Linked DNA regions of Mytilus edulis. The protein of the gene in region 1 interacts with the protein of each later gene in a pairwise test. Links are inferred from orthologs where the notes say so. Each region holds a gene or a part of one and is shown in the gene's direction. Other genes may lie near its edges. The genes, in order: cleavage stimulation factor subunit 3-like and cleavage stimulation factor subunit 2-like.

What was found.
Region 2: the proteins of cleavage stimulation factor subunit 3-like (region 1) and cleavage stimulation factor subunit 2-like interact in a two-hybrid assay, tested with the Drosophila melanogaster proteins (2 studies listed by BioGRID). The link is inferred for Mytilus edulis from reciprocal best matches to the Drosophila melanogaster genes su(f) and CstF64.

Annotation. Positions count from the first base shown.
Region 1 is NC_092353.1:43,455,540-43,472,854, forward strand, and holds the start of cleavage stimulation factor subunit 3-like, read left to right. Parts: upstream 1-7,818; 5' UTR 7,819-7,997; coding exon 7,998-8,018; intron 8,019-10,186; coding exon 10,187-10,288; intron 10,289-10,661; coding exon 10,662-10,757; intron 10,758-17,315. UniProt on the Drosophila melanogaster protein: Essential protein, may play a role in mRNA production or stability.
Region 2 is NC_092353.1:66,389,364-66,407,170, forward strand, and holds the start of cleavage stimulation factor subunit 2-like, read left to right. Parts: upstream 1-8,412; 5' UTR 8,413-8,442; coding exon 8,443-8,527; intron 8,528-13,534; coding exon 13,535-13,613; intron 13,614-17,807. Other genes in the region: probable mitochondrial pyruvate carrier 1, read right to left, coding at 1,363-1,495, 2,873-2,897.

The DNA of each region.
Region 1 (17,315 bases):
CTTGAAAATAAGCCCGGTGACCCATTTTTTTTTAATTTTAAGCATAATATAAACTACATATAGGCAAATTATTAAAAAAAATCTATGGATTATAATTTAGACACCCCATCTACCTTAACTGTTTACACAACTTTTGAATTTTTGAAATACTAAGGCTTTTTCTACCTCAGGAAAATATAACTTTAGCTGTATTTATCAAAACTTTTAAGTATTTTGATCCTCAATATGCTCTTCAATTTCGTGCTTTATTTGGCCTTTTAAACTTTTTTTGTATTCGAGCGTCACTGATGATCGAGTCTTTTGTAGACGATACGCACTTCTGGCGTAAGTACAAAATGGTATCGTGATATATTAATGATGAGTTTATTTTCTTAAAAAGACGTAAGTACAACATCTTTAGTTTTCTCGACGTCTTTTTGACGTATTTTTTGTAATATGACATCGCTACCATAATTCAACCTAAAAAGACGTCAAATGGACGTCTTTTTCTGCTGGGTTGTATTAAGAATAGATACAGCCATGCAAGTAGGGATATCTCTGAAAATAAAATTTCCGTGGAAAGGTCCCGCGTATGTGTTTGTTTTGTGTTCCTGTATTGCTGAAGATTAAAGACAGGAAAAGAAAGGAATTTTTGCATCATGATAGACTCAAACTGTGCTTTGACAGAGAAATACTTCTATGAGGGGGAGGACAGGGGGGTTACCCTTCTCCCTTCTCCCACCCCTCTTCTCCTTTCTCCTACCCCGTTCTCCTTTCTCCCATTAGAATAAAACATCTCCTTTTGAGATAAATTAAAAAAATTCTCCTTTCTCCAACTTTTTCTCCTTTCTCCCAGCCTTCCTCGCCTTTCTCCTACCCCCTTTCCTTTGTTTAGTCAAAACTCTCTAATACCGAACCATGAAGATAAAAGTATTGATAGTTTTGATACATTATATAACAGGTCCAGCTGGGGACAAACTGGTGTGCGAAAAAGACAAATGACGTCCTACTATATGTACAGCAGATATCTCAAGTATTGTTTATTGGACTATTTGTATATATATTTAGTAAAACAAGTTTTGCTAATTCATTCTAAGTATGGATGATGGACTTGATTATGTCATTTAATGGTGAAAATCCAGATAGATAAGAGGAAGATACAAAGATTAAATGCGGTAGATTAGAGGAAGATACAAAGATTAAATGCAGTAGTACGCAAGAACCTGAGCAAGGCAAAATTATGTCTGGTATGTGCAAGTCGTTTTAATAATGTAAGAAGGCACGTACGCCTCATGGTGCGGGATTTTTTCGATGCATTGAAGACCCATTGGTGGCCTTCGGCTGTTATATGGTCCTTGTCGGGTTGTTGTCTCTTTGACACATTCTCTATTTCTATCCTCAATTTTATGACTTTTATGTATACCACACACATTTGCCCAGAAACACTAACGCACTAACCTCATGTAAAACTTATCAAAATCAATTTGGTCAGAGGAGAGGGAAATATTGGAAAACCATTGCCTTTAGCTTCACAACTGTAAGGATGAACAACAGTCTGTATGGACAGAACTAATGAATGGTCTCCTTTTAGAACTCTGTCAACGCTATTTATTGCGCGATTACTAAAACATCTGGTAGACTATTTAGTATACGAACAGATGATGCCTTTAAACAATACTAATCAACTGACTTTCACAGGACAGACATACCTTTATTGAAATTCTACAATATAGGGAAAACAGATTAAATGTAGAGGTTATGCATGCTGTATCCCTCCATCTGCAATATATTCTTTGGTACATTGAAAAATGTTTGCCTTATTATTAAAAGGAACTGAAAACGTAGATAACCTCATTAAATATGAAATCAAAGTACCCCTTTATCAATTCAAAATGTTATTATGGTTACTGATTCGCATTTTCATTTGGATATGATTAAGCAACAAGCCGATCTATAAGTTGAATGATGGTGAGTTAGTATTCCAAATCAGACACTTAGAAGGGATATATGTGTATTTCAAAGACGTTGGCCAGCAAGAGAAAATATGGAAGAAATCAGAAAGGATTGACAAATAATATCGACTGTTGGAATACATCCACGGATAAAAAAAGGAGAGGAAATGAGTGTCCTGAATTTGTGGATTACAGATTTAGAGATGCTTATCTGTGTAAATAGAATGGTGGCAGTTGGGGAATGGGGATTAGACTCCTCTGATAATCCAAACAGCAAAGAACTGAGAATAGCAAAAAGGCACGCCTACCTGTAGTTTTACATTGCAGAGGAGATAATTTTAAGAAGCTGTTAAAGACCATGTCCCGAGATTCATTATCTACTTTCCGAGAGGAAAACCATCTAATTCATTGGCATTGTTTTAATGGGGATATGGAGGAATATCGGCAATGCAAAACCATGTTTCCAAACGGTAAATTTGGCATCTCTTAGAGCAATTCCTACTTATGGATAACAAATACTCATCTTACAGATCAACTGTATGTCCATTGGACCTAGAAGATTTAGTTTTGTAGATTGATTCCCCCCATCTACTCCAGGGATACCCTGGAGCATCTCCAGAACTATTAAAGGATATCAGTTAGACACTTAATTGCATCTATGATCGATGTACCCTCTGAAGATATAGCGAGATATATTTTAATGGATGGTTGTTATTTCCGTAAGACTGGGAGGAATGAAGTAAAGGTCCAGATATAAGATATAATTACTGGATTTGATACCAGAACTTAACCAATTATCTACTGCTCAACCTGGCAGATTATTTCCCAGAGCTCAGCTGATCCTGTTGTGTTGGATTCCAGTCCTGAGATTCCTGCCATTACATCCTTTTATATACGAAGACTATAACTGTGACTAGGAATTAAAGGTACATTACCAACATCATAATTTAAGTACATGTTGATGCAAGAGTAAAATGTTTCATTTATTACTGTTCTGAAATTGATACAAAAAAAATGGGCATTAAGTACAGTATCTTTTTTTTTTTAAATGAGGAAACCTGTAAAATGGCAAATATGTACCATGTATATGTTACAGGGAATTTGTGAAATCAGGGATTTTGTAAAATCACTGAAATTTCAGGGAATTTGTAAAATCACTGAACTGATTAGTGATTTTATAAAATCCCTGATTTTGACTAGTGATTTTACAAAATCCCTGAAATAATTAAGATCTTTTTTACAAATCACTGATTAAATTCAGGGAATTTGTAAAATGAATTAATTCATTTGTAAAAAGAATTTCTGTGAAAAAAAGCCTACAACAGTAACACTCAATAAGTTTGAGATTAATCTAGCCTTAATTAAGTAAGCAGTTTTCATGTACTATACAACTGACATACTGTACTATAAAACGATGGCTCAGACACAGATGTCTTTAAATCAAGAGCAATTAACATACCCACAATTAAAGGTTTCATCAAAATTGATATACAAAAAGCAAATAAGTGTTTAATTATTGATTTGCTGCCTACAAAATAATAGATTTGATAGAGACAGGGCAATTATGTAACAGTAGCTATCATCCAAAACTTGACATGTAAAAATAAGTAAATTTACAGTGGTCTAGATATCGGATTACTACCTTTTAGTCATTAACACTTTATACTTATTGTACAAAATCCCTAGCTCTATTTTCAGTGATTTTGTAAAATCCCTAGAACAATTTCAGGCAGAGGCGGATTTAGAGGGGGCCCAGGGGGCCCGGGCCCCCCCTTTTTGGGAAAAAAATTGGTTGCTTATATAGGGAATCATTGAAGCGTGATTGGAGCGGGCCCCCTCTTAGGTCAGTCAGTGGGCCCCCACTTATGAAAATTTCTGGATCCGCCACTGTCAGGGATTTTACATAACCACTGAAACTGTTTAGTGATTATACATAATCACTGATAAGTCCAGTGATTTTACAAATTCCCTGTAACTTATACATATAAATGACTTTTAAAACATATGCAGTGATATACATTGATAGTGTTTGTTTATTTAAAGTCGGTTATCTTACCACAACCAGGCTACGTTGTTTCACTTTCTTCCAATATGCAAGTCAGATAATATTAACCGTAAATGAGCATCATGTGTCTAATGTGTGCATATCCTGAGTGCATATCACATATCAGTATTTTTATTAGGACATGACATAATAATACGTTATTTGTATTATAGGCTTAAAAAAGGACGTTGAGAAATCAGGTCGTAGTAGTAGGACTGGAGCGCAGTTAGATCGAAGTCAGATCACAAAGATCGCTGTGCCATCTAGTTTCTAGTCGAAAATACTACGCTACGATCTCACAGCGACGTTACTACGACCTTTCTACGACTACTACCTTCTCATCGCGACCCATCCACGTTTATAATACGACCTCTCCACGACTACTACCCGGCTTCTCATCGCGACCCATCCACGCTAAAGCCTTATATGAGGGGGAGGACAGGGGGGTACCCTTCTCCCTTCTCCCACCCCTCTTCTCCTTTCTCCTACCCCCGTTCTCCTTTCTCCCATTAGAATAAAACATCTCCTTTTGAGAAATTTTTTCTTGAAATATTAGAATTTTTTTTTAAAGGAGAGATATTTTATTTTATCTCCTTTCTCCAACTTTTTCTCCTTTCTCCCAGCCTTCCTCTCCTTTCTCCTACCCCCTTTCTCCTTTCTCCCACCCCCTTTCTCCTTTCTCCTACCCCCTTTCTCCCTGTCTCCCTTACCCCTGTCCTCCCCCTCTTATATACTACGACTATTCTACGTTTTATATGCAGAATAAACAAACACAATAATACGCTTTAACAACTTATTTAAAAAACATCAGAGTCACAATTTACAATAATTTGATTTTGGATGTAAAGCATCTAGCTCTGATTTGCTGACGTCGTCACAAGTTGTTTTATATCGGCCCATATACACAATTTTGCCATGTGACCGTGACGTCATCAAGATTTTTTCATGATTTACTCCGGTTTAGAATGGCAGGGCCGTAACTAGGATTCGAATTCAGGGGAGGCAGGGTTTTGGGACCGCCGATTGAGGCCCCCAAGATAGCCCCCGCCGATTTTTTTCTCTCAGTAAAATGGCTAAAAATGACCCGTTTTCCTTCGATTTCCTTACTTTAAGAAACATCAGTATTGCCTGAACCTGACTGAATCAATTTTTTTGCAAAAAACAAGCTGAGGTTGCTGTTCGGTTGAGCCAAGGCTCCGTCTTGTATGCCGTACTTTGACCTATAATTATTAACCATGACTAAATACATTGAAAACTCGGATTTTTTTTTCACAATATGGCTAAAAATAACCCGTTTTCCTTCGTTTTCCTTACGTTAAGATTAAGAAACATCAGTATTGCTGGATCCTGGAAGCATTTTTTTTCAAACAATTATTATCTGAATTTAAAGATATTTTTGTTATAAATCAAACTGGTAAGGTAAAAAATAAAAAATAAAGCAAGATCAGAGATCGCAAGATATTTTTTTTTATCGAGGACCTTGAATTTCAATATTGTTGAAAGCTGAACAGACATGTGTAAAACTATAACCAGGGACTTTCAATTCTAAAATTTACTTAGTATAGAAAGTCCCTGCTACAACCGTCGGAATGGGAGTGTTTAACTACGCAGGCATTGACCATAATGTTCTCGTATGATCTGGAGACGCGTTTAAAAAAAATGACAGCTGATTCAGCCGGTAACGAATTTTTAATATCACAAAAGATTCACAATACAAAGGGAACTTCCTCTGCTTCAATGAGCCGGTAAATAAATGTAAATAGTTAACTTTTATTCAAAATTGTCGAAAACAAAGTTTCATCTGTGTTTTTCATATACATGTGTTTGAATAACAGACGGACGGCTAAACTGGAATCCGCTTGTATTACACTACACTCAAACTCTATGAACAAACGGTGTGGCAGTCAGCTGATAACCAGCTTAACGGACGGCCACACAAAAAAAAAAACAAATACTGAAACGGTTCACTTTCGATGAAAAATCCGGAAAATGACAGATATATATCATATAACATGATAACACTGTTAAAACTTAAACTTTTATTGTTTATAATATAAATTCAAGTTCTTCGTGTACATATTGTCAATATTTCATTTTAGTACTTAAAAAAAAATTTTGGTGTAGAAAATTCAGGGGAGGCAAGTGCCTCCCCTGCCTCATAGGTAGTTACGGCCCTGAATGGATTTAAGAATTAAATTATAAGAAACGACTGTAATACTTTCAGTTTCTGCCTATTCGAAATAATATAAAAAATGTGGTGCACACTTTATTTAACCCGCTACGCGGGTTATCAGTGTGCACCACATTTTTGATGTTATTTCTTCATAGACAAAAAATATTACAGTCATTCCTTAAATTAATGTATGTACATCTCCTTTTCACAAATCTATTTTAATTAAGGAATGACTGTAATATTTTTTTCTGTCTATGAAGAAACAACATTTAAATTCAAATACAACCAAACATCCAAAGAACAATTAAATGACAATAAAAAAAAAACCATTTTATTAACCTTCCAACACAACAATTCAAATTGATCTGTACTCTGAGGATCTGTAACACTACCAATACTTCTACCACAGCCATTTTTCTCATGTGCTACTTTTTGAGTAAAATGAGGTCGAAATTTTGTATATTTGCTCAAAATTCGGATTTGTGGCCGTATTTTTCTTTTCGAAAGAAAGACAAAACTTTTTTGTTTTAATAGATGAATAATTTGTTATATCTGTATTTTATAAATATCCTAAAAATGTATACATTTTTTATTCAAAAATAACTCATATTTATGAAATGTTCATGAATGTAGAAAAAACAAAATTGTTTACTGTATATTTATCCAATTTAAAAAAAAATGCACTGTTTACGTTTTCATGAAAATTGGAACCCATTATCTTCTCGCGTAATCAAACCAAATGGCATTTTAAAAAGAGGGGTCCGTGAACTCGTTTTCAAGTTAAATAAGTTTGAATGATAAAAATCGATCGAGAACAACATCTTTTCCCGATAAGTCATCGTCTTCGTTTATTCATATTAATTATATATTTGAAATAAAATCGACTGCGGTGCACTCGATATGCATGGTTCAACAAGAACCCATCTTCATATGCTATTCTTTTTTTCTCTCATTCACGTAGTAAAAAATAAATCCCGAGAATTCAAGAAACAACAAACTTATAGGAGAGGACTACATTTTGGAATATAATATATATATAAAACTTACCATTATTAGCTGCTTTGACTATATTCTCTTAGTAATCCCCACTGAAATTATGAAGACTATCTGAATAGATTTTGAATACAAAATTCATGATACGCATAGTGATACATTTTGTCTTATACTTCATGGGCTTCATGAAGCAATACATATTGTTTACCTTTAGCTGTACTTTCTTTTTGTCTATTTTTTTTTAAGTTGAGCTACTGTTTAAGGGGGCCAACATGTAGGATATATCTAAATAAAAAGAAAGTTTATTCACAAAGCAATTTTCAAACTTGAGGAAAATAAATCTTTGCTTGCTTTTTCTTTTATTTTACCTTTTTCCACGTGTTAAACAATGTTTTAAGTAAGACATTTATAAGCCTCTAAATCCTCTAACAGTCCATTCTGTTATCGGCTTATATCCCTTACTTAAATAGTAGCCGTCCATATACCAAATTTCTGAGTTTAATATGTTAAAATAGAAATGTTTATTTGTCCTGTTTCAAAAAAAATTATAGGAGTTTATTCTATTAAATATTTATTAAATTATAGCTTCCCTATTTATTATATGAAATAAGAAAATTGGGGACAAGATCGAAATAACGTTATTTGTTTTAGACATTTCCTTGATGTTTTTACAACCAATCAAATTCGATTTTGTTTCAGATGACGAGCAGCATGTCTCGAATGTCTGCCGGTTAGCCAAGCACCTGAAAAAGCTGTTAATGCATGGACACACGCGATGCCTACTGCAAATAAATAGTTAACATGAAACCGTAGAAGTGTTCTTGTTATTTACGTGTTGTAGTTATTTATTTGAATCATGGCAGCAATGCCACCGGAGGTAAGAACGTCAATGCAACGCGACATCTTGTTTGTTTATACCCACGACTTTTGACACGCTAGTTACAGTGGCGGATCCAGAGGGGGGGTTCCGGGGGTCCGCACCCCCCCCCTTTATTTTGGCCGATCAATGCATTTGAATCGGGACATATGTTTGCACCCCCCCTGCACCCCCCCTTTGCCCTGGGCTAGCACCCCCCCTTTCGAAAATTCCTGCATCCGCCACTGAGTTATCTGGTTATAAAGCGACAGAGTCTGAAGATACGAATGGATATGCTGTAACCGTTACGTACACTGCTGTATTATAAATTATTCAGACGATAAAAAGCCATTTAACCACGCATTTAACAACATGTTTTGAAATCAGTGCCCTTTAAAATATATATAATGTAGTGCTAAGCATTATATCATGTATATCTTAAGGTTCACCTGGACCCTTTGTCTGCAGCATTCACGATCAACTTACATATGAGCCCAAAAGCCCGCAGCTCAGTTGGCTTGTTGGCCTAAAAGCAATTTTACATGCCAATGTGTGGTTAAGAATGAAGACTTGTTTTAGATAGCTGCTTTCACCTAAAAATGTACAGAATAGATCATGATACTAACCTTTGAGTCTGGATAAGTTTCAAGGAAATATTATACACCATAGCCTAGATATTAAGGTTCATGTGGACTCTATGGTTAAAATGGCCGTATTTTCACCTCAAAATTTACTCTGAGTACAGACAAACCTGTGCATCTATAAAAAATTTCAGGCATAGCATGCCCTAGATAAATAAATTTCAAATATGTTTTGTGTTTTAGAAAAATAAAAACTTACCAGGATTTTGCCGTGCACTTTTTTTCATTCCTCCAGAAGGTGCCAAAATAAACTAAGTTGGGAAACAGGTTTGAGAACTTCCCCACAGGTAATAATTGAAGTGAGCTGTTTTGTTTCACATGGACATGAGATGGACAATAGATACCTGACAATAATTGGTTATTTAAACTGTGTACCCAGTGGCGGATGCAGGAATTTTCGAAAGGGGGGGTGCTAGCCCAGGGCAAAGGGGGGGTGCAGGGGGGGTGCAAACATATGTCCCGATTCAAATGCATTGATCGGCCAAAATAAAGGGGGGGGTGCGGACCCCCGGAACCCCCCCTCTGGATCCGCCACTGGTACCTGAGTGGACCATATCAAGGTAAACTCAACTGTTTGTTAATTTTATCATCTTCTGCAGGGACGAAAAAAAGTGTACGGTAAAATTCAGTTAAGTTATGAATTTTCTAAATCATACAATGCATTTGAATTCTATTTATCTAGGGCATGCTATGCCTTAAAACTTCTCAAAATGCACAGGTTTGCCTGTACTCAGATTAAATTTTGAGGTGAAAATACGGCCATTTTAGCCATAGGGTCCACATCAACCTTAAAATAAAGATTTATAAAGTGCATACTATGTTTAAAAATACAAAACTTAAAAACTGGATTATTCATATTGGCTTAAGTTTATATTGGTCATGTGTTGGTTAGCAGAAAATATATAATTGCACATATATTATACATGTATAAACAATTTCAAACTCAAAGTTGTGACAAAAGGGATAAGATTTGCAGCTTGTTTGAGCATACATGTATATTTTTTTAATAGTCTTCCCAAATCATATTATTCAAGAAAAGTTTTATTTTGTAAGGGTTCAATATTGCTCACTCTCCCTTTAAAATTTAGAATAAAAATATGCCCCAACAAGCTGTAAATTGGTCACTTGACTTGGTAGATTAACATAAACTGAACATGATGAGAAAAACTCCAAAAAGAGATGAAACATTCAAGCAATTAATCATTTTGGAACCATTGTCATGAATGATGATAATACCATTTGTATAGATTGGTTTTCATTCAATAGCTTTCCTTTTAAATCAGTGAAAATAATTTAAATGAAAACTATTTTATTCAAGACAACTGACATTGAAAACTACAATGTCAAATTTTCTTGTATTAATATTTTATATATATACATGTATTACTATGCTTTCTGCATATACAAGCCTATAATTGTCATAGTTTCAATTCTAACATAAACATACATTATACAAAAGTATCATAGACCCCTTTTAAGCTTTTAAACTTATTTAACAATACAGCAGTTGAAGGATTTAATCAATTATTTTTATTGAAAACTTTTCAGCAAGTGGGGTATGTCCCTGACAAATTGAAGAAAGCTGAAAAGAGAATTCGTACACAATCTTACGATACAGAAGCATGGAGCGTGTTAATAAGAGACTCGCAGGTACATATCGTAACAACTAATAATCATGATAATTGAATCTGTATTGTCATAAATTGACCATGTCTATTAAAAAATCATGGAGCTTGTTAATAAGAGACTTGCAGGTATATATCGTAACAACTTACAATCATGATAATTGAATCTGTTCGCATAAATTAACCGTTTTCATGATTAATATCAAAATATAACTGATCATTTAAAAGTATACTACTACATGTATAATAACTTTTGTTATTATACTTGATTACTTATTCATGTATTTCCTTTCAATATTAAGAAAAAATAATAAAAACAAAAATGTAAGACATTTTTACTGTATGTTTGTTGTTTTCAATTGTGAAAACTCATCATTTCTTCCTTTTTTGAATTTTAGATGAAACCTATAGAGAATGCAAGACCAGTCTACGAACAGCTTGTAGAACAGTTTCCTACTTCTGGAAAATATTGGAGGATTTACATAGAACAAGAGGTTATTTAAATTTTGTTTTTACTATTGATGTCACATGACCTTAAAGTGCTGAAAATTAACTATACTGTAGTTGAATTCAATTTTGATTTAAATTTCTGTTTTTAAATGCTTTTTTATAGTTGCATATTTTTATAAGGTACTTTTTATCTTTTGCAATTGCAGTCATTATGGTCATGTGATATCATACTGAGGGTAAAAGGTCTGTTAAGTAACTTTACATTGTTACTGATGAACATGATGAATATAAATCATTTACAAAGTCTTTAGAGTTCTTGTTTTATATGTTGTTGACTTATTTACTTGTGAATGTGATTGAATGAGAGTTGTCAACCATCTGCTAATTTTTTTCTCCATAGTTAATAAGATGGAATCCAGACTAAAAAACTCTCAAAATGAAGCTAAATATTATCTTGCCCATGCCCTTTTATTTGTTTATTTTATACTTTATAATTTGGATCAATGTTTTACATCGTTTTAAATCTAATATGAGAACTAGAGTCAAATCAGTGAATTTGACTTATAGTGCGGGACTGCCCCTTTAAAGCCCATTATTTTGTTATTGAGGAATTTCATAATGGGCGTCGGATTTACATCTCCTACGATACATATTTCTTGAGCCAATATTATATCTTGTAGAAATAACACGTGCTGGTGACATTTTTAAAAGCCTTTGGACCAATTGGAACCAAACATTTGACACCAATCCCAATACTGCCAATAGTGATTAGTTCGAAAAGTGTGTTCAACCAGTTAAAATCAAACTTAATCAGTGTGTAATCAATATAAAAAAATGCATGGCCAGAAGAGAAAAGACAAGAATACACAAATGGAAAACTAAAGACTAGCAACATTTACCTGACTAAAAGGGGGGATAATCCCTTTTTGATTTACAGATATATTAAAAGCAATAAATTCTCTTATAAATAAGTCTTGGTATACAGGTATTAGTTAGAATGAATGGAATGAGAGGAAGTGTTTAATTGAAAATCTTTATTTCAGCATTCAACATAATATTTTAAAAACTATAATATTAACACTTACATTTTTTTGTGTTACATGTATATAATTCAAACTGCATGATGATAAGTAATCAGTGTAGATGTTTATTTATAATTTTATTTAATTTATATAAAGTAAAAACATGAAAAAGAAGGGTAATGTTATGGTACATAAATAAACATTGCCAATGACATATTCAAATGGTTGTTTTTAATTGTGTTTTAAATTCCAGCTTAACAGGAATATTTCACACAAGGCTGAATATATTTACAGGTGCAAAATGCACAAATTTGGAAGTATCAAACACATGTATTCAACATGTATATTGTTAACTTATTATGAAAATTATTTTTAAGCTACAATTCATTGTTATGGCACATTTCTTATATGAAGCAGAATGTGTGAAATTTTCCGCTTCAAATGTGTATTCATCAATTGATAGCTTCAAGCATTAGTAATTTAAGGAAGCTTTCATTTGATTCCAAGTATAGAATTTTTTATTGGTTTCAGCCTTCAATGACAGAATTATCTTGATTGAAGTACAAATGTAGCTTGAGGCATATTTATTACACACAAACAGAAAAATGTTTTAGGTTAAACATGGTTAAACATTGTAAAATGTCAATTTGCAGAATCCATTCATAAATTTCAAATTAAATTCTGTAGCATGTCCTACATGATTGAGCCTTTACACTACAAAATGACCATTGACAGACACATATACAGCAAATAAAAATAAACAAAAGATGTCAATAGGTCCATGAGGTCAAAATACTGTGTGAATTAAAACAGATGACTTTGAACATTGTATAACTGTACAGTAGGTGGAAATTGGGCTTTGAACTATAGCTGTTTATAGACTTTCTTTTCTTAATGTGGTAAAAATTATTTCTTTCACTGTGCTCCATTTTCATTATTCATAGGGAATTGCTAATTATAGAAACAAATCTGTTTCAGTTGACTTGTTATCGTCAAATGTGTATAAAAAAATTGAGAATGGAAATGGGGAATATGTCAAAGAGACAACAACCCGACCATAGAACAGACAACAGCAGAAGGTCACCAATAGGTCTTCAATGCAGCAAGAAATTCCAGCACCTGGAGGCATCCTTCAGCTGGCCCCTAAACAAATATATATACTAGTTCAGTGATAATGAATGCCATACTCAACTCCAAACATACATGTACCTCGTATGCAGATTCCTTATGTTAAGAAGTTTCCGTCTGTCATATGTTCATTGTCAATGATGCTGTTTTCATGTTTCAGCAACTGCTTGAAAATAATTTTTTTGTCGTGGAATACTCCTCTTCTATAAGTTACAAGGTAACTTTATATGGTGTTTGAGTTCCTCTCAAGGTCTTCATGTCCATCACACAGTGAGCAGATATAAGTTGCTCAATAAGGGGGGTTGCTCCCAGGCCTACATTTTATCTACCTCTGGTGATCTGATGAGTTCACCTGACTTTACCTCATTTCATGGATCAGTTATCAAAGTGAAATTTTCATTGTGAAGTTCACTTCAGGTACTCAAAGCAATTCCAATAGGTCGACTTGTCTATATATTGTGTTTAGAAATTAATTGTAGTGTAAATGTTCCTCTGACGGGTTTCATCTGACCTTGACATAATTTTCATGATTTATTGGTCAGTGTTACGTTTTTACTTGTTTTGTCCTTAATCATATTTCATAGGCAATTTATCAACTATAATTGGTATATGGAATGATTGCATGGTGATCATGTTGTCTGGCAGGTCTCAAATTTAAGGTTTATTGGTCAAAAGTCAATTTTTGTAATCAGGTTGGTTTTTCATATACTTGAAGCATTAGGCTAAGTTGTTTATGTATGTCTGGCTGGGTTCATCTGACCTTGACCTCAGTTTTTATGATACTAACTTAAAATCATACCTTTATATTACACACTTGCAACATCAATTCAATCATGATAAGTGAAACCAGTCAACATTTCAGATCGCTTAAGTGTGTGCACGCATAGATCAATTCAAATTTATATTTTTAAGGTGGTACCCAATACCTTGACTAAAACTGATTTGGATCATTTAATTTTTTAAAAATTTAATTTCTGAAACTATATTTACTTTGAACCTCTGACAAAAATATAAAAAAAATTAAACTTGAACCACACACTTTATCGGTAAAATTTCATTGGATATATAGCAGGTTGGCAAACACTAATTTTGATCATTGAGAAGCAGGGGCGCAGTTGCCGTTAGGCACTTTAGGCACATGCCTACACATTTTTTTTCACAAATATTTTTTTTTATTAAAAAAAAAAAAAAAAACATTATCTGTAGATGAAAGCCGGTGAAGTTGTCAAAACTCTTTAATTATCGAATGTTATGTGTACACTAGTCTCTCGTCCTTAGTGAAATGAATGGAATATTGGATAGAATTGAATGTTTTTACGATTTTACCTTATATAGAAACTATAAACTAGAACTTTGGTTCAGATCATTTCACCTCTATCAACAAAAACTTGAATGAACCTCAACTTAGACACATGAGCTTTTTAATTAGTTGTTGTTAGTTTTCAACTAGCTTTCCACTTTGTCTTCACCCGACTTGCCAATGTTGGTCGTCCGTTTGGCTATGCAGGATGTATAAATACGCAGCCACTTCTGATCAGAATGGGGAAATTAAATCTGATGCCTAGTTGTAGAGAGAATGCAACTCTTTGAGGAGTTCGCAGTTGGTCTACTGAAAGGCAAAATTTCTCCTCCTATCCAATAATCCCTCATTTTCCAATGTATGTCATTTTTAAATTTCCAGACCTTCGTCCTGGACGACACTATTACAGGATCTAGCTCCAAGTTGTGTTTATTGCAAAGAAAAATTTCAACAGTCCTGAACTTGCATAAATATTTGACACTGGGTGTAAAAAAAACAATCAGTCAACTGGCTTCCAGTAATTTTGAGTACTCTCAAACCTGCATGTAATGGCCACAATTATTCAAAATTACTAAGCAGGTAGGAACTGCTGGGGGCCTTCAGCGGCCCAAGACCCCCTGACCATTGGTGCCTACAGTAGACTAAATACCCAGCTACGCCCCTGGAAAGCTTATATTTCACAACAATATAAGGTGGTTAAAACATTCAGCAGATTTACAGAGTTATCTCCCTGTAGTGTTATGTACCACCTTAATCCATTTTTGGCCTAGTATTGTTTGTTTTGCCCAAAACAAAGGTTTTCGGATAAGTAAGTGACAACAGTGGTATGATTGTATAAAAAAACCATAACTTATGGTTAAAGGAGTTTTAAACAATCTATAGATGGCTCATTGATATAAAATTTTTGGTTGACATAATTCAATTGTTATTTTGGTTCGGTAACTTGGGAAGTTAGTGGTCAGTTTAATTTTGTCAGTTTCTTTGGAATCAATATTGGTCTTTGCAAGACTCCCAGTGACCTTTTTGTTTTTAAGTTTTTGTGCTTTGTATACAATTAGGAGATGTGGTATGATTGTCATTGAGACAGCTATCAAACAGAGTTCGAATATTGACTCGAAGCAACAAAAATAGATCACTTAATATCTTGTCACTTTAAGTAATATGTCGACTATATTCTATCTGCAGGACCATATTAAAATGAACATATCTTTATACAGTGACCTGTCTCCTGACATTCTCATTTTCAGGTTTTATTATATATTAAATCGGTGTTAAAGTTTTCATGCTAATGTCATTTCACAGTTGCTTTGATTGATATGTAAACTATTTGAAGCATACAACATATTTCAGGTTTATTGTTAAATGCTTGTGCAGTATATATTTTAACTAGCAAACAAAAATATCTTGTACACCAAAAAGCTTATGTCAATTAAAAACAAAACTTGAAACAAACAAACAAAAAAACAAACAATTAGTATTATCAAAAAGAAAACATCTCTGTCAAGAAGAAAGTTGTCTTTAGACATGATTAGAAACATAATTTAGGAGCAAAAACACTGCTTTAGAAATCTGATAAACATTAACATACAATTTAATCCAAACCATGAGGGTTCATGGACTGATTATATACAATATTTAAGGAACAGTGGGTTACATTCCTGTATGAGTTCATATGCTGAAACAGGTAAGCTTAAATGAAATACTAGTAGGATCAGATCATTACCCATTTTGTATGAAGTTTTATGATTCAACAGCACCTTTGAGTTGCTAAAAGAACATATACTGATGAAGGGTTATAATAATAAACCATAACAAAAAAATGGAGACAGTGCTTATAAACCAGTGATATTTGGCTTGTCAAAGAAATCAAACACTTGTTTGATTATTAATAATTAGCTCCCCTGAAACTATATACAATGCGAAAGATTCCTTAATTTTCGTTACCCTGGACATAGAATAATTGGCTTTGGTGCATGTCCATTCTTTCTTGTAAGAACTCTCACTGAAACAAACCTTGCCAGAATTTTATGAATTAAGTCAAATCTTGTAGTCTGTTCAAAACATTTATTTTAAAAGTTATGCTCCCTTAGAAATATAATTATGGTATTTTGCATTGAAAGTGTCTCGCAGCTACATTTCTTGTAGGATTATAAAATTTATATGACAGGTTTATATGTGCAATTTCTAGAGAAAAATTTGACAAATTAGTTTCCAACCATTATTTTTGAAGGAGTTATACCCTTTGGAAATATAAATTTAAACATGAGATATTGCATAATTGAATATTTTGCATTTTGCTTACAAGAAAGCACTCCCACACCTACATTTTTGAAATTTATATCAAAGATTTATATCTGCAATGTCTCATACTAGTTTTAAAAATCAGTTTCAAATATTTATTAGTCCCCTATCGACAAAGTCTAAGGGAACTTTAGGTTTACACTCGGTTTGTCTGTCCAACCGTCAGTACGGCAAATCAGTTTTCCACACTTGTTTCTTACATCCTTGAAGATATCAATTTAATAATTGATATGTAGTTTTATCGGGACAAATTACAGTTCATGTTCGAATTTTGTTCCGGTCTGATGATTTTGTGCAGAGTTATGGTCTTGGGACATAGAAAATTGACTCAAATAATCAGTTTTCCGCCCTTTTTTTGTCATTATTGAAGATTTTTATTTGATAATTGATAATCATATTATATCATCACGATGAGTAACATTTCAAGTTGAATTTTGTTCCTGTCTGATAATTTTTTGCAGAGTTGTGGTCCTTGGACAAAATATATTCACTCTAATAATCACTTTCTCATGCTGGAAGAAATTGATTTGAAAATTAGTATATAGTGTTATCATGAGAAGTTACAGATCAAGTTCCAATTTTGTTCTGGTCTGACAATATTGTGTAGAGTTATGGTTCTTGGACTGACAAATTCATTTTGATAATCAGTATTCAACACTTTTTATGCAGAGGGGGGATTAAGTTTTACCCTTGTCCATCTGCATGGTCATACCTTAAATTGATGATTGTTCTCTCGCTTTAGTTTGCCTCAACCAAATGTTATGTAACTTGTACACAATTCTTGTACCGCAAATCACAGATCAAGTTGAAATTTTGGAGGCTTAATCACTTTTGCCGCTCTTGAGTTATGC
Region 2 (17,807 bases), about 23 Mb from region 1:
AACTTTCTTGGCAAAATTTGGTGTGTTAGTAAATCTTGCCTTGCGGATCATTTTTGTGATTTAAAGTAGATATAGGAAGATGTGGTGTGAGTGCCAATGAGACAACTCTCCATCCAAATAACAATTTAAAAAAAAGTAAACCATTATAGGTCAAAGTGTCTATTTTACTATTTAAATTTTTATTATATATGGCAAAATTTTTTAAAAATTTGTAAGGGTTCTGTGGAACCCAGTGTCTTGACTACTTGAATCTAATAAAGGTTTTAAGAACTTTAACTGCAGACTGTATGTAATGTGAACTGGAAGAAAAATGAAGTCCTATAAGTATTTATATGTAACATACAGAAAAACTGGAAATATATTTTTTACAAAATTTCCTTCAAGATACTAGCAGAAAAACCAAGTCCATTCATAAGTAAAAATACTTAGAATTTTTTTTTTACAAAATTTAGTCCTGGAGACTAAAATACACACTAAACAAAGCTACATATTATGGAGCCCATGTCCTGTTATTACAGTATATGGTATCTTTGATGAGTTTATTTACAACCACTGGGTCGATGCCACTGCTGGTGGAGATTTATTTCCCCAAGGGTATCACAAGCCCAGTAGTCAGCACATTTTGTGCTGACATGAATTATCATTGATATTGTTATATTTATAAATTAACTGTTTACAAAATTTAGAATTTTTTGAAATACTAAGGCTTTTCTACCTCAGGCATAGATTACCTTAGCTGTATTTGGCAACACTTTTAGGATTTTTTTTGGATTCGAGCGTCACTGATGAGTCTTTTGTAGACGAAACGCGTGTCTGGCGTATATATAAAATTTAGTCCTGGTATCTTTGATGAGTTTATTTATTGATTGTTTCAGACTTTTAATAATTTGGATGATGTTTTTCATTGTTATAAATCAAATATGATATAAGCCAAATCGGTGAACATGAATTTGACAGCTAGTGCCCCTTTAACATTGACCAATCAAATTCTATGATGAACATTTTTTGGCAGTATTTTTTTTTGGTATCCCAGATTTCTGTTGTTCCTTTAATAGACATTTCAAAAAAAAACTAGGTTTTGCACCAGAAATGATGGCATATAGATAATGATATTGTATTTATCGACTAAGCACAGCACAGCAAGACCCCTGATACAGGATGAGTGATGCTATCCTTAGTAGTTGTCAAAAAGACAGTAGAAATTCTATCTGACAGCAACAAATAGTTTTACACACATATCTGAACTGCTTTATTCCAAATAGGATGGAAACACCCATGAATATTAAATGAAACCTCTAAGTGTCACTTTTCCTTAAATATCCAGATAAACACTATAACACACAATGTAAAATGTTAACTTACTGATAATGGATTACTCTTCCACCTTGCATCATTTGAGCGGAAAAGTTGGTTATATGACAGGCAAACAACAACATATTACGAGGCTGTACTCTAATAGCAAATCTCATGAATAATGAGGAATAAATTGCAAGTGCTACAAAATAAATAGGCAAAAGTATTAAAAAATTATCAGTTATACCGTGAAATCTCAAAACATACCTATAGCTATTCTTTAATTTTTGTGTCTTTTGTATAATTCGACATTTAGTATGACGTCTATTATCACTGAACTAGTATACATATTTGTTTAGGGGCCAGCTGAAGCCATCCTCCGGGTAATGGAGTTTCTTGCTGCATTGAAGACCCATTGGTGGCCTTCTACTGTTATCTGCTCTATGGTCAAGTTGTTGTTTCTTTGACACATTCCCCCATTTCCATTTTCAATTTTATTTAGTGTAATTATGTTAGTTCAGTAACACTAGCATAGACTGCAGACATAATATTAATATTCTTAGCTCAAATCAAAGACTGAACATTTCTCCTCAAGAGACAACAATCACAAAGGTGCATGAGAAGAATCTCAATCTCTTTTTTCTGGTATTTTCATGTTTGTCCTATGCTGGAAGATAAATGGTCATTTCAGCATAGTAAAAAATGTTATTGTGTGTTGTCATTACAATACGAAATTCATAAAACGGTCACCATTTGTCTTAATTTCCAAGCTTATAACAAGTTTTAACTTTATTTCCAAACATCTAAATAATCTCTTCAAACACTATTTTTAAGAAAATAATCCAAAATGCCACTGTCCAAAATAAAATGATAAACCATCATTTAAAATAATTCTAATTTTTAAAGAAATGAAGTCTCTGCAAGGTTTACCTGATTGACTGTTTTGGCTATTCCATTCAGGAGCATATTGGTGTGTAGCATTTATGTAGTCTTTTGCCTTCAATAGTTATTGCTTTGAAGGTTTATAATCCTTTTCAAATTGAAAAGTTCTTGGAACACAGCTTGATTTTTATATAATTGCTACATTGACATTTCAGTAAAATTAGAGAATAAAATCCACATCTATGAATTCTTCAAAATCTGACCATCCAAAAACACAAATGGCACAATCACATTATTTTAATAATGAAATGAAAAGACTGAGTGGAACTTAATTTGCTTATTTTTCAATTTTTTTCTTTAGCAGTTTCTCACTTTTCAAGTTTATATTCTACAACGCTGTAAGCTCATAAAATCATTGTTAAAGGGCAATAACTCAATTCCATAATAGATTTGCAACCTGAATACTGTGGATTCATTTATTTTCGTGGGTATCAATTTTCATGGAACGCTGAAAACTTGCATATTCGTGGATATTTTACTTTCGTGGTTTTGCCAATGTTCGTATATAAGGCCTATTGAAAATATGTTATTGTTGAACATTTGAATTCATAGTTCACTTTTACCCTTGAAAACCATGAAAATTGGTACCCAATGAATAATAATGAATCCACAATATTCTATAAACAGCTATATCTACCTGCAGTCATTTTACCACTAATCATCTCTGGGTCTTTCTTTAAGTCTGCTAATGCTGCCAAAGGAAGTCCCCAATTTGCAACTGTTGATGGAAGAAAAATAACAAATTTAACACTAATATAGACATGTGTATATTCTTGGATGTTGGATGTGTACTGATTGATATTTTAGTCCTAGGCACATTTATTTAATTAGTTGTATTGGCTTTGAACTAACTTTTAGTAACTGAAAATTCTCACATATCGGTACTTTGTGTCTTTTATGTTTTTGTTAGGGTTTTAATGTGCTTTGCATCGATCTGATGAGTTAAGCCCTTTTCGACTGACTTTTATACAGTGTTATAGTTATCTTATGTTGTACTGTAACACCACTGCCCCAGGTTAGGGGAGGTTTGTGGCAAACAAGTTATACAATGCAACATACTATTTGACAAATGCAGAAGTTTAATATTTTACAAAAATATGAAATCTTTAGTATTACTATCATAATGAACATCAAAGCCATCATGGCATGGATATTAAATGTCAATTTTCTTCACTCATGAGGTCAAAACTCCATGTAATCTCCAGTTCTGACTTGGCAAATCTGTCACATGTCTGCAAGCAGGTACAGCAGGTAGAATGAAATGTGAGCTCACTAAAGAGCAATGAACATGAAATGCATCAAGCAGTACTAGTATTATTGTTAAGATTATTAAATAATTGCTGTTGTAAACATGTATCAATATTATAAATAGTATTAAATACAAATGTATTATTCATTAATTATTAACTTACCAGGACCCCAGAAATGCTGAAAAAAATAAGACACATATATCTATAACTAGTACTATAATCAGGATACATAGTGTTAACAATAAAACACCGCCCATTGTTAAAGTTTACAATAGTTACCACAGACCAAACACATAAGTGACATAACCACAAAAATAATATCAGAAGTCAATTTTATTTATATAATTAGGTTTCATTGCTTAAAACTGAAATTTCAATTGAACCATTACAAACATTATATCACTTTTCATAAAGCAGAAATTCAAGACCACTCTAAAAGCTTGATTTTTATTTATTAAGATCATCTTACCTTGATCAGAAAGTGAATATTTGACAGTAAAACTGAGTAAATAATTGAAATTCGATAAAAAAAAAAAGAAAAAAAAAAAAGAAAAAAAACGGAAAAAACTAAACATATTTTGTGCCAGTTCCTAGTCTCCTGAAACTCCATGGTTGCCATGGTTTTCTCTATGTGATTACACATAAATCAGGCTGTTGGTTTTCTCATTTGAGTTGTTTCACATGTTGTAAAATCAAGCCATAATCACTGCTTTTGGCAGCTTTAATACTATATACAAAATGGGTTTTGCTCATTGTTAAAGGCTGTATGATGACCTTTCACAATAATAACATACACAACTGTTCCATACACAATAACTTTCATATTCTAATCAAATAGATTAATAAATACTTACTGTACTATGTAACCGTGTAGATTTCACAGACAATATGAAAATAGAAAATAAGACATAGTGTAAGTTTAATATTGCATAATTTTTATTTTACTGGTACAATGTATTACTCCTTACACATGCACTTGAAATAATCTTAGTGAGAGCACTAGACCTGCTATTTTTGACAAAAATTATTCATCAACAAATCCTGATGAGAATTTTGTTTCTTGCTTGTTGTACCAGTGTATTGTTCATGCTTAATTGTACATGTGAGTGGCTTATTCTTGGTTGTACATGTGTATGATTCATGCTTGATAATGATTGCTGTACAATGTACATGGATTTAGTTTTCTTGGTTGTAAACTGTTTTGTTTTCACATGCACCTGTAGGTACTAAAACTGGAATATCTTAAAAATGATTTTTTTGGTCTTATTGAGTCAAGAGCAACTATTGCTCTGATACGGTTCCCTCATAAATATATTAGATACCATAGTTGAAAGAAGTGACTTTTACACCAAAAGGTTCAGGAACCAGTTCTTTAGAGTACTCCTCGGTAGATAAAATGTATTGTCTGAGCCCATTGCTTTAGTAATATTAAACCTTTCATTACTCATGTTACTTTTTACTCCCTTTTCAGCACAGCTTTTAACTTTATGGTCACAGAGTAAGGAATTTTTCTTCTTTATCAACTCAGTCTTAAGATTAATATGGGGACGAAGTCCCCAATAACAGTAGAAAAATCAATAAAAAAAAAAAAAAAAAATCAGGAAAATTTTTTCGAAATTTTCATTGTACTAATGAACTCAAAATCGTTCAATTTTTTTGATGTCATGTTTTGAATTCCTGCATATGCGCAGAAATCTACAATGTATTTCCTTTTTCCGGTCTCGTTTGTATGAAACTTTGAGTAAAATATATATTTATCAGTCTAGTATAAAATAGGAAGGAACACAATACCAATTTCATTTTTAATAATTCCTTGATATGAAAAAACGTTACCTGATGATAGCGTTTCTTTGTTTACATTGCATATGATGTCATAACTTAAATAACGTCACAACTAAAATCCCTTACAACAGAACCAAAATTGGAAACGTTACGGTATTTTCTTTTCTTTTTTTTAGCAAATATTTAAGTTACAAAAAAATAATTCATACAGACTTCGTCCCCATTTACAGGTAATGCCTGCCTCATATTAATTAAACAGCTTTTGAATTTTTGGTCACAAGTCAGTGATTTTTCTTATTTATCAATTAGGCTATATTTTATTCTTAAAGTCTAAAGAGCAGGGCCGTAACTACATTGAGGCAAATGAGGCAAATGCCTCATGTTAGAAATTTCAAAAAAAAAAAAAAAAATGAAACAAAAGATTGTCTTAATATCAAATTGTTTTCACGGAAAGTGTCTAACAAGAAGCAAATTCTCTTCACTATCTGATGTCGCCCCTGCATGTTTTTCGTGATCCATGTTTCTTTTTTACTTTTAGTTTTCAGAGTTGATGGTCTATTGTTTGAACTTCTGTGTCCCGAGTTTGTCTTTTGCTTATTTATTGTCGTACTGTATGACAATAGTCTGAGTGTTGATTTTCATTTGTAAACATGTGGTTTTGCAATGTTGCATGCCCACCGATGTCCAGATATTGTGCGAGAAAATGTTTTAAGAATATACAAGACACAGAAAAAAATGGTCGTTTCTGCATGGAGAATTGAATTTGATATCAAAGAATTCACAACTGGCTACTTTTGGTTGATAAAACTAGATACCTGACATGGTTTAAATGAAAATAAGGTCACCAATTTTCCAGTATCAAATAATTTGACACAAATCAATAATGTATTGCCATATGACCATTTCCATTGATGGGTTAAACTTGCATTAAGTCATGTTCAGACCCTTTTACAGAAAATAAAGGAATATGGAGTAAATGTGCACGAAACCTAATCCCACACAAAGTCAATGCATAAAAAATACTAATGATCAATCATTTGGTCAAAGTTGCTGGAGGGTCTTCAACAATAAAAGAATCATTTATATCGTAAAACAGGGTCAAGTGTCCCTAGTGTCGTCTTAAGCAGTACTAGTATTTAAAGCATAATACTGCACTGTCACAATATTTCAATCTAGTCATAAAAATATCACCAAAGTCTAATCACAATACAAGACTAAAACAGACAGACAGTATATATAAAGAAGAAGATGTGGTCTGATTGCCAATGAGACAACTATCCACAAAAGACCAAAATAACACAGATATTAACAACTATAGGTCACCGTACGGCCTTCAACAATGAGCAAAGCCCATACCGCATTAATGATTATGAGAATTACGAATTTTGCTTTGTCCTACATATCGGTCTTTTAATGTTGACCATAAAACCTTAAAGTCTTAAAATACAATAAATCTATGTTTTTGCTTTCAGACCAGAATATTGTCGAAAAAAAGCTAAAAATTAATTGCAATTCAATGTCAGAAAGAGTCTTGGAAACGCTCAGAATGCACGATTGTGTGTTAGTTTTCTCAGAGCTTCTGGGGGCCTTGAGCGGCCCCCAGTCCCCTCTCCAATATTTTTGCGCCTCGCTCCGCTCGGCCATATAGAATAGAATAGAATAGAATATCTTTTATTTCCATAAGAGGTACCCTCAAGGGGCATAGTGCATATACATTCATGACAATATATAGTTACAAACAATTACAAATAAAATAAAGCAAAACAACAAAACAGTATGCTTTAAAAAGTTAGACATTTTAAATATTACTTACAGTATCCCAGTGTTATATTATAAATGTTTACTCAAGGCAGGTGTTTTGATAAGAAATAGCCAAGTTGTTTTAAAATATTAATAGACTCACAGTTTAATAGCCAAATAAATTTATTGAACATATATCCAAGGAGTAAAAATTTTTACATTCTTTAAGGTTCATGTGGACCCTATGGCTAAAATGGCCGTATTTTCACCTCAAAATTTACTCTGAGTACAGGCAAACCTGTGCATCTGAAAAAGTTTTAAGGCATAGCATGCCCTAGATAAATAGAATTCAAATGCATTGTATGATTTAGAAAATTTATAACTTAACTGGATTTTGCCGTACACTTTTTTTCGTCTCTGCAGAAGATGATAAAATTAACAAACAGTTGAGTTTACCTTGATATGGTCCACTCAGGTACACAGTTTAAATAACCAATTATTGTCAGGTATCTATTGTCCATCTAATGTCCATGTCAATTAAAAATGCTCACTTTAATTTTTACTTGTGGGGAAGTTCTCAAACCTGTTTCCCAACTTAGTTTTTTTGGCACCTTCTGGAGGAATGAAAAAGAGTGCACGGCAAAATCCTGGTAAGTTTTTATTTTTCTAAAACATAAAACATACTTAAAATTCATTTATCCAGGGCATGCTATGCCTGAAATGTTTTACAGATGCGCAGGTTTGTCTGTACTCAGAGTGTATTTTGAGGTGAAAATACGGCCATTTTAGCCTTAGGGTCCACATGAACCTTAAATATCTTTTGCCTCACTATTTGAAGAGGCTAGTTACGGCCCTGAAAGAGTGAAATCAAGTTGTATTCAGATCTTTAAACATTGTGATCAGTGAGTCTGACTTTCTCTGTTTTTTTTGCAAACAGAGTGGAATAATTTCCAATGTTTGGCAGATTTGATGAAACTTGAATGTTGTTGTAATAATTAGCACTTTTGGTAGTCTGAGAACGCTTCGGCTCAAACATTTGACTCAAAGTGACTTTATTATTTTTTTCATTTTACATAATTATTATGGTATGGAACTTTTTTTCACCTCATGAAATATTTTGACCATGATAAGCTTGCCATCTTATGAAATTTTTAAAGAGAGCACTGGAGGTCAAAATTTACAACATTTGTTCAACCTGAGACAATCAAACGCTTGAATCCTTGGCCATCTTTTCGTATAAAAAAACGCAGTAATGATTTAAAGTCTCTGAAACAAAAAATCAAATATATTTGTGTATATGAAATTAAACTCAAGGTTTTGCAATATAAAACTCTCATTATATTCATTTATAAAGAAGAAACTAATTGATCAGATATGTATTTTCTATCTTTCAAAGATATGATTTAAAACCTCGATTTAAAGAATAAATTTGAAAATGGCGGCCCCCATGCAACAAAATAATGGGTTAATACTGCCATCTCCTTTAACTGCTCAAGAAAGATCAAATAGATCTGTATTTGGTAAAACATTAAATTTGTGAAGTCATTCTTTTTAGATTATATCCATGTAAGCAGCTGATCACCAACGAGATAGACGATCTATCGATTATGTTCGATTGTCTCCCCTTTTCCCACGGCACAGGACTTGTTTATGTCAATGTTTTTTTTTCACACTTGTATAATTTTTCGCAGAGTGTGGAAAGTAAATCCCCCGTTGACAGTTACAAATGCCTGTGCCTTTTCCAGTAAAATATATAATAACTTTGAAGATGGTGGCCCCCTTCCAATTACATTTATACAAGTTATATCGTCTAGTCATATGTTTTCGTATCATCCATATTTCATCGGTATCAGGTCTTTTCGCACCCAATATACTTTTTGACCCTACACGTTTCTCCTCACATGTTCGCCCCTGAAGTCCTTTCGCACCCTACACGTTCGCGCCAAATTTGTATTAGAATTTCATTGAATAATTAGATATTTTTTATATGTATATTCACCAAATAATTTTATTTTCTTGAATAAAATTGGAGGAATTATCACATTTTTTTTTTTTTTTAATTTGATGGATTTTAAACTATAAAATGTTAATTATGTACATCATTCTCAGTTAATCAGCAATTCAGTACCATTGGACTTTGATGATAATTTGTGAAGAAAATAAAGGAGATATTGGCAAATCTGATGTGTTATTCTTTTCTACTAATGTTGAATAGATATTAAAGATAATTTAAGGATGATAAGTGGAGAAGAAAGAAATTTACAAGAGTTTTAAAATAAAAAAAGGGTGTTTTGATGGCGTCCATTTTGGGACATTTTTCCATGGTCATATTTAATCATATTTTTATGTCATTTTTGTATGCACAACCAGGGCAAGTTAAGGAATAATAAAAACTATATACTCAGATTTACTTGTTCATGTATAAAATATAATAAACAGGGCATTATTAATATATATATTTTAGTAATAAAAATTAGTGTATGGATGTTACTGCATCGGTCAAACCTTAGCTAATTTTGCGATAAATATTTACACAGAACAGAATGTGGACAACACTATTCGCAAAGTAAACAGGGGTTTTGTTGTTCTTTAGATGTATTTTGTAAAATGATATGACATGCAGGGCTTCATAATAAAAAGAAATCGTCAATCTTTTACAGACGTGGTAATATCGGTCAATAATTAACATCCAAAACGAATCCTCGTTTACTTCCAATATTACAATCGTCCGATATCCAACCCCCCTAAATGAAAGTTTGGACTCGTCCAAAAAGATGTCATCGATCTTTGTGTACACAAAGCAGCCGTGGGACTTTCGAAAATGCGAGTTAAGTTAAGTTCGGTCAGGCGAAAGCAAATTGTAACATCCAAAACTTAATTTAAATTCATTGATATTGTAACAAATACGCAACTAAATGGTAAGTTTTCATTGCGTGATCAGTTATTTACGTGGTTCAATATATAGGTAAATATAATATGACGGAAATTGCCAATTTGACGATAAACAACACAGATGCATATGGACGGTGACATTTTGACCTGTAAACCTTTTTGTGGATGTTATATTTTGACGTGATAAGCATGTGGTTGCGTAATGTCCGTACGATTTTAGTTAAAAATAAGTTATATATTAAAATATGTATCTGCACTATTTAAATATCGTAGCACTGGATGATGAAAAATAAAACAATATCCAAAGTTATTATCTGTTTTATTATACAATGTTCAAATCAATGATCAATGTTTTGGACATTACTGTTTTACTCGAACAAGTAACATCCAAAACAGGGAGTACAAACTAACCCCATTAAATTATAATTGAGGGAATATAAACAAGGTACTATTATTTTACAATAAACTAAAATTAGTTTAACATGTGTATGGTTTAACCATTGCTCTGGAATATACTTCTAATTCTGTGACATGTTTTGGACATTACTGTTTGATGCACAAACACTTGTTTTGGATGTTATTGTGACCTAAATTTTACTTGAACAAGTAACATCCAAAACAGAAAGAACAAACTAACCCCATTAAATTTTAATTGAGGGAATATAAACATGGTACTATTATATTATATAAACTAAAATTAGTTTAACATGTGTATGGTTTAACTGTTGCTCTGAAATATACTTATAATTCTGTGACATGTTTTGGACATTACTGTTTGATGCACAAACTCAGGATATTTTTTATGTTTTGGATGTTATACAAATTCCATTTTGTCAATTGTCAAAATGTAACATCCATGACATCCATAATAATTCCGTAAAAAAATATATGCAATAATGAGTATTTATTTGAAAAGTCCAATGTATCTGTTTAATGAATAACCACAACAAAATCTTATAAATTCTCCTTTAAAAATAATTGACACACAAACTGTTGAACTAAACTTTTAATGTATTAATTTTGAGTCACATCCACAACAACAAATTATACATAATTACTCCCTTTCTATTGTAATATCAGTTGATAAATGATTTTAATTTTAAAGATATTAACTTCTTTATCTAAAATATATGAATTATTCTATTGAAATTGTACATTTAATGCATATATGATACTGTCAATGAAAAATATATAACATCCAAAACACAGAGGGTACTGTTAAAAAAATTCAATTAAAATATATTTCCACATACTGAACTATCTTTTTATTATTAGAACCATAAAGATCAATGTTTTAGTCTCAATTTGAGACCAAAAAATGGACCAAAAGCCAACATTTATATTTTTCACCAAGGTATATAAAAAAATGCTGAATAACTGAGAATGACCCATATGATTACTGCCTAATTTGGTGTTATTTTTTAGTGATTAAAAATTATGATTGTAAGTCTTTTAACTTGCTTTGATGTAAATAACTGCATATATTTAGCTTGGTATGACTAAATCTTTGAAGATTTTAAATTAAAAAAAATCATAAAATATAATTGTTTTTAACAGCTGTCTCCTTTGATCTTAATATCGTGTTTCTTGTGGTTAGGTAACGTTAGTGACGTTAGTTACTAAGCAATTGTACAGTGGCAAATACTTGACAGATCTCATGTGTGTTTAGACAAGTATGACAATATGACAATATGAAAGCCAAATATTTATTGCAACACACTTTCCAATACTCGTTTACAAATTATTAAACACAAAACCAATAAAACTTTGACTCGATCATTATCATTTTTTCTGCCAAAAAAAGATATGAAGATACAATGACATTATGTACGATTTGTATTTCATAGTAAATGATAGTATAAATAAAATTTGGGCAAAAACGTGGTGTAGGGTGCAAACAGACTTTGGGGGACGAACGCATAGGATGCGAACGTGAATGGGCGCGATTGGTTTTGATTGCACACGTGTATATTGTGGCAGGTTTTTTCATTTTCTATATTTGAAACAACAACAACACTACAACTTGACAAATTTAAAACATATTCAAAGTCGCTTTAAAAGACGCTAGAACAAATTTAATAAAACTGACCAGATTAGCCATTTTAATTTAAAGCCAAAAACATGCCTCACTGAGTTCACAAGTCGATAAAAACTCAACAGTGAAATCCTTTAGCAGTTAAAAATTTTATTAGTACGAAAACCCATCACATGATGATACTTATAGGCACCTTATTTAATATGAGGCAGGCATTACCAGTGAAAGGGGACAAAGTCTGTATACCTTTTTTTATCCGTCCGTTCGTCCGTCCGTTCGTTCGTCCGTCTGTCCCGCTTCAGGTTAAAGTTTATGGTCGAGGTAGTTTTTGATGAAGTTGAAGTCCAATCGACTTGATATGATCTTTCTAATTTTAATGCCAAATTAGAGATTTTACCCCAATTTCACGGTCCACTGAACATAGAAAATGATAGTGCGAGTGGGGCATTCGTGTACTGAGGACACATTCTTGTTTTTTTTTTTTATTTCAACCATGTATTTTAACTTCCAAATATATATATGTTAAAATATTTTTTTCATTGGGTAACGTTTTATCATATCAAAGAATCATTAAAAATGAAATTGGTATTGTGTTCCTTCCTATATTTTACTAGACTGATTACTATATATTTTATGCAAAGTCTCAAGACAACAAGACTGGAAAAAGGAAGTAGATTTCTACGCAAATGCGGGATTCAAAAATAGTAACAAAAAAAATTACGATTTTGAGTTCATTAGTACAATGAAATTGTCCCAATTTATTTTTTTTGACATCGACGTCAAAGCAAAAGTTTAAAATAGCCTTCCAAGACGTCATAATTATTTGGACTACTAACTTATATGACTTTTTGCTAGGCTATTTAAGTATTTTATTTTTTTCTGTGACACCTTCCTAGGTCTACAACTCACAGGGTAAAAAAATAGCCTTGCAAGAGGTCATTATACTTTGGACTAGCAGCCCCCATGCAAAAAACACTCAGTGAATACCACCTCTGTTATCAGCTCAAGAAAGGTCTAATAGATCTGTTTTTTGTAATACTTGAAAAATTGGAAAGTCATTTAAATATTTTCTTTCAAAATATCTAACAAAATAGACAACCAACTGTTAATGTTAGATCAGTGGTACTGATAAAGTAAGAAACCGAATTGAAAAGAAATAGATCGAAATGAAATATGGCAAAACAGAATGGAAAATGGCGAAACACAATCAATATGGAATAATATATTTTAAGCCTTATAGCACTTAACCCTTACTATGCAAAAAGCTGATAGATATGTCTGCAAAGTAATCCATACAAATAAGACAACATGACTGAAATTATTAATTATCTATTGAAGGAATAATTGCCCTAATTTTCACCAATTTTTATTTAATTTTTTTTGAGAAACTTTGGTAGATCAAGAGAAACTGTGAAACACAAAAATGTTTAGCAAAGTAAAACGTACACATAAGTTGATGTGACTATTCGTGCATGTCTGTCAGTTTAATAAATTACCTTTTTTTTTCAGTTTTACAAAACAGGAAGTTTTAAATTATACATGTATGTATTTTAGCTTCAAAAATTTAGATTTAACTCAACATTATTGTTCATAATTTCAGTCGGGAACATTCCGTATGAAGCTACAGAAGAAAAGTTGAAAGAAATATTTGCTCAAGCTGGACCTGTTGTTAGTTTTAGGTAAGAATATGATAAATAATTATAAAATTGAGAATTTCAAATTATCTACATTGGTGAGGTAAACACAAACTTTATACTAACCTAGCAAGTTTTTATACGACCGCAAAATTTGAAAAATTTTTCGTCGTATATTGCTATCACGTTGGCGTCGTCGTCGTCGTCGTCGTCGTCGTCGTCCGAATACTTTTAGTTTTCGCACTCTAACTTTAGTAAAAGTGAATAGAAATCTATGAAATTTTAACACAAGGTTTATGACCACAAAAGGAAGGTTGGTATTGATTTTGGGAGTTTTGGTCCCAACATTTTAGGAATTACAGGGCCAAAAAGGGCCCAAATAAGCATTTTCTTGGTTTTCGCACTATAACTTTAGTTTAAGTTAATAGAAATCTATGAAATTTTGACACAAGGTTAATGACCACAAAAGAAAGGTTGGGATTGATTTTGGGAGTTTTGGTTTCAACAGTTTAGGAATTAGGGGCCAAAAAAGGGCCCAAATAAGCATTATTCTTGGTTTTCGCACAATAACTTTAGTTTAAGTAAATAGAAATCAATGAAATTTAAACACAATGTTTATGACCACAAAAGGAAGGTTGGTATTGATTTTGGGAGTTTAGGTCCCAAGAGTTTAGGAATAAGGGGCCAAAAAGGGATCCAAATAAGCATTTTTCTTGGTTTTTGCACCATAACATTAGTATAAGTAAATAGAAATCTATGAAATTTAAACACAAGGTTTATGACCATGAAAGGAAGGTTGGTATCGATTTTGGGAGTTTTGGTCCCAACAGTTTAGGAATAAGGGGCCCAAAGGGTCCAAAATTAAACTTTGTTTGATTTCATCAAAATTGAATAATTGGGGTTCTTTGATATGCTGAATCTAACTGTGTATGTAGATTCTTAACTTTTGGTCCCGTTTTCAAATTGGTCTACATTAAGGTCCAAAGGGTCCAAAATTAAACTTAGTTTGATTTTGACAAAAAATGAATCGGTTAGGTTCTTTGATATGCTGAATCTAAAAATGTACTTAGATTCTTGATTATTGGCCCAGTTTTCAAGTTGGTCTAAATCGGGGTCCAAAATTAAACTTTGTTTGATTTCATCAAAAATTGAATAAATGGGGTTCTTTGATATGCCAAATCTAACTGTGTATGTAGATTCTTCATTTTTAGCTCACCTGGCCCGAAGGGCCAAGTGAGCTTTTCTCATCACTTGGCGTCCGGCGTCCGTCGTCGTCCGTCGTCGTCGTCCGTCGTCGTCCTGCGTTAACTTTTACAAAAATCTTCTCCTCTGAAACTACTAGGCCAAATTTAACCAAACTTGGCCACAATCATCATTGGGGTATCTAGTTTAAAAATTGTGTCCGGTGACCCCGCCAACTAACCAAGATGGCCGCCATGGCTATAAATAGAACATAGGGGTAAAATGCAGTTTTTGGCTTATAACTCAAAAACCAAAGCATTTAGGGCAAATCTGACAAAGGGTAATATTGTTAATCAGGTTAAGATCTATCTGCTCTGAAATTTTCAGATGAATCTGACATTCCGTTGTTAGGTTGCTGCCCCTGAATTGGTAATTTTAAGGAAATTTTGTTGTTTTTGGTTATTATCTTGAATATTATTTTAGATAGAGATAAACTGTAAAAAGCAATAATGTTCAGCAAAGAAAGATCTACAAATAAGTCAACATGACCAAAATGATCAGTTGACCACTTTAGGAGTTATTGCCCTTTATAGTCAATTTTTAACCATTTTTCGTAAATCTTAGTAATCTTTTAGAAAAATCTTCTCCTCTGAAACTGCTGGACCAAATTATTTGAAACTTGGCCACAATCATCATTGGGGTATCTAGTTTAAAAATTGTGTCCGGTGACCCCGCCAACTAACCAAGATGACCGCCATGGCTATAAATAGAACATAGGGGTAAAATGCAGTTTTTGGCTTATAACTCAAAAACCAAAGCATTTAGAGCTAATCTGACATTGGATAAAATTGTTAATTAGGCAAAGATCTATCTGCCCTGAAATTTTCAGATGAATTGGACAACCTGTTTTTGGGTTGCGGCCCCTGAATTGTTAATTTTAAGGAAATTTTGCTGTTTTTGGTTATTATATTGAATATTATTATAGATATAGGTAAACTGTAAACAGCAATAATGTTCAGCAAGGTCAGAGTTACAAATAAGTCAACATGACCAAAATGGTCAGTTGACCTCTTTAGGAGTTATTGCCCTTTAAAGTCAATTTTTAACCATTTTTCGTAAATTTTATATATCTTTTACTAAAATCTTCTTCTCTGAAACTGCTGTGCCAAATTGATCCAAACTTGGCCACAATCATCTTTGGGGTTTCTTGTTTAAAAAATGTGTCCGGTGACCTGGCCATCAAACCAAGATGGCCGCCACTGCTAAAAATAGAACATAGGGGTAAAATGCAGTTTTTGGCTTATAACTCAAAAACCAAATAATTTAGAGAAAATCTGACATGAAGTAAAATTGTTAATCAGGTCAAGATCTATCTGCCCTGAAATTTTCAGATGAATTGGACAACCTGTTTTTGGGTTGCGGCCCCTGAATTGGTAATTTTAAGGACATTTTGCTGTTTTTGGTTATTATATTGAATATTATTATAGATATAGGTAAACTATAAACAGCAATAATTTTCAGCAAAGTAAGATCTACAAATAAGTCAACATGAACGAAATGGTCAATTGACCCCTGTAGGAGTTATTGAACTTTGTAGTCAATTTTCAATCTGCTTCCTTTGTTTAATATTCACATAGACCAAGGTGAGCGACACAGGCTCTTTAGAGCCTCTAGTTATGCCCCACCTACGATAGTAGAGGGGCATTATGTTTTCTGGTCTGTGCGTCCGTTCGTCCGTCCGTCCGTCCGTCTGTCCCGCTTCAGGTTAAAGTTTTTGGTCGAGGTAGTTTTTGATGAAGTTGAAGTCCAATCAACTTCAAACTTGGTACACATGTTCCCTATGATATGATCTTTCTAATTTTAATGCCAAATTAGAGATTTTACCCCAATTTCAAGGTCCACTGAACATAGAAAATAATAGTGCGAGTGGGGCATTCGTGTACTGAGGACACATTCTTGTTGGTCCTGTTTTCAAATTGGTCTACATTAAAGTCCAAAGGGTCCAAAATTAAACTTAGTTTGATTTTAACAAAAATTGAAATCTTGTGGTTCTTTGATATGCTGAATCCAAACATGTACTTAGATTTTTGATCATGGGCCCAGTTTTCCAGTTGGTCCGAATCAGGACCTAAAATTATTGTATTAAGTATTGTGCAATAACAAGTCTTTTCAATTGCACAGTATTGCGCAATGGCAAGAAATATTTAATTGCACAATATTGTGAAATAGCAAATTTTTTTTTTTAATTAGAGTTATCTTTCTTTGTCCAGAATAGTAAGCAAGAAATATCTAATTTCACAATATTGTGCAATAGCAAGAATTTTTTCAATTGGAGTTGTCTTTCTTTGTCCAGAATCAACTTAAATCTTTGTTATATACAATATACAATGTATATTCACTTTTTACTACCAACTGATAAATTAAAATAATCTTTACCATTCAGTGATAACAAGCAGTTATTTTACATCTTAATATTTTATGATGTATTTAAATGAGTAGTTATTGTTGCAAACTCCATTAGAAATTTTAATTGAGATTAGTTTTGGAATAAGGGAAAGGGGGATGTGATTAAAAAAATTGCGTTCAATTTTTCTCATTTGAAATTTCATAAATAAAAAGAAAATTTCTTCAAACATTTTTTTGAGAGGATTAATATTCAACAGCATAGTGAATTGCTCTCAGAGAAAACAAAAATTTAAAGTTCATTAGAACACATTCATTCTGTGTCAGAAACCTATGCTGTGTCAACTATTTAATCACAATCCAAATTTAGAGCTGAATCCAGCTTGAATGTTGTGTCCATACTTGCCCAAACCGTTCAGGGTTCAACCTCTGCGGTCGTATAAAGCTACGCCCTGCGGAGCATCTGGTTTAGTTTTAAAGCAATTTTGATTCTGTACAGTAAATTATTATTAGAATACATTAATCCTGCAATTATTTCTTCATTATATAAAGTGCACCATTCAGTAAATTTTTGATGAGTAATCTTTGTACTCAATTTAAAAGTGATGATCGAAGTAAAATGTGTTTTTTTTGTGTTTTCAAATCTTGGTGAAA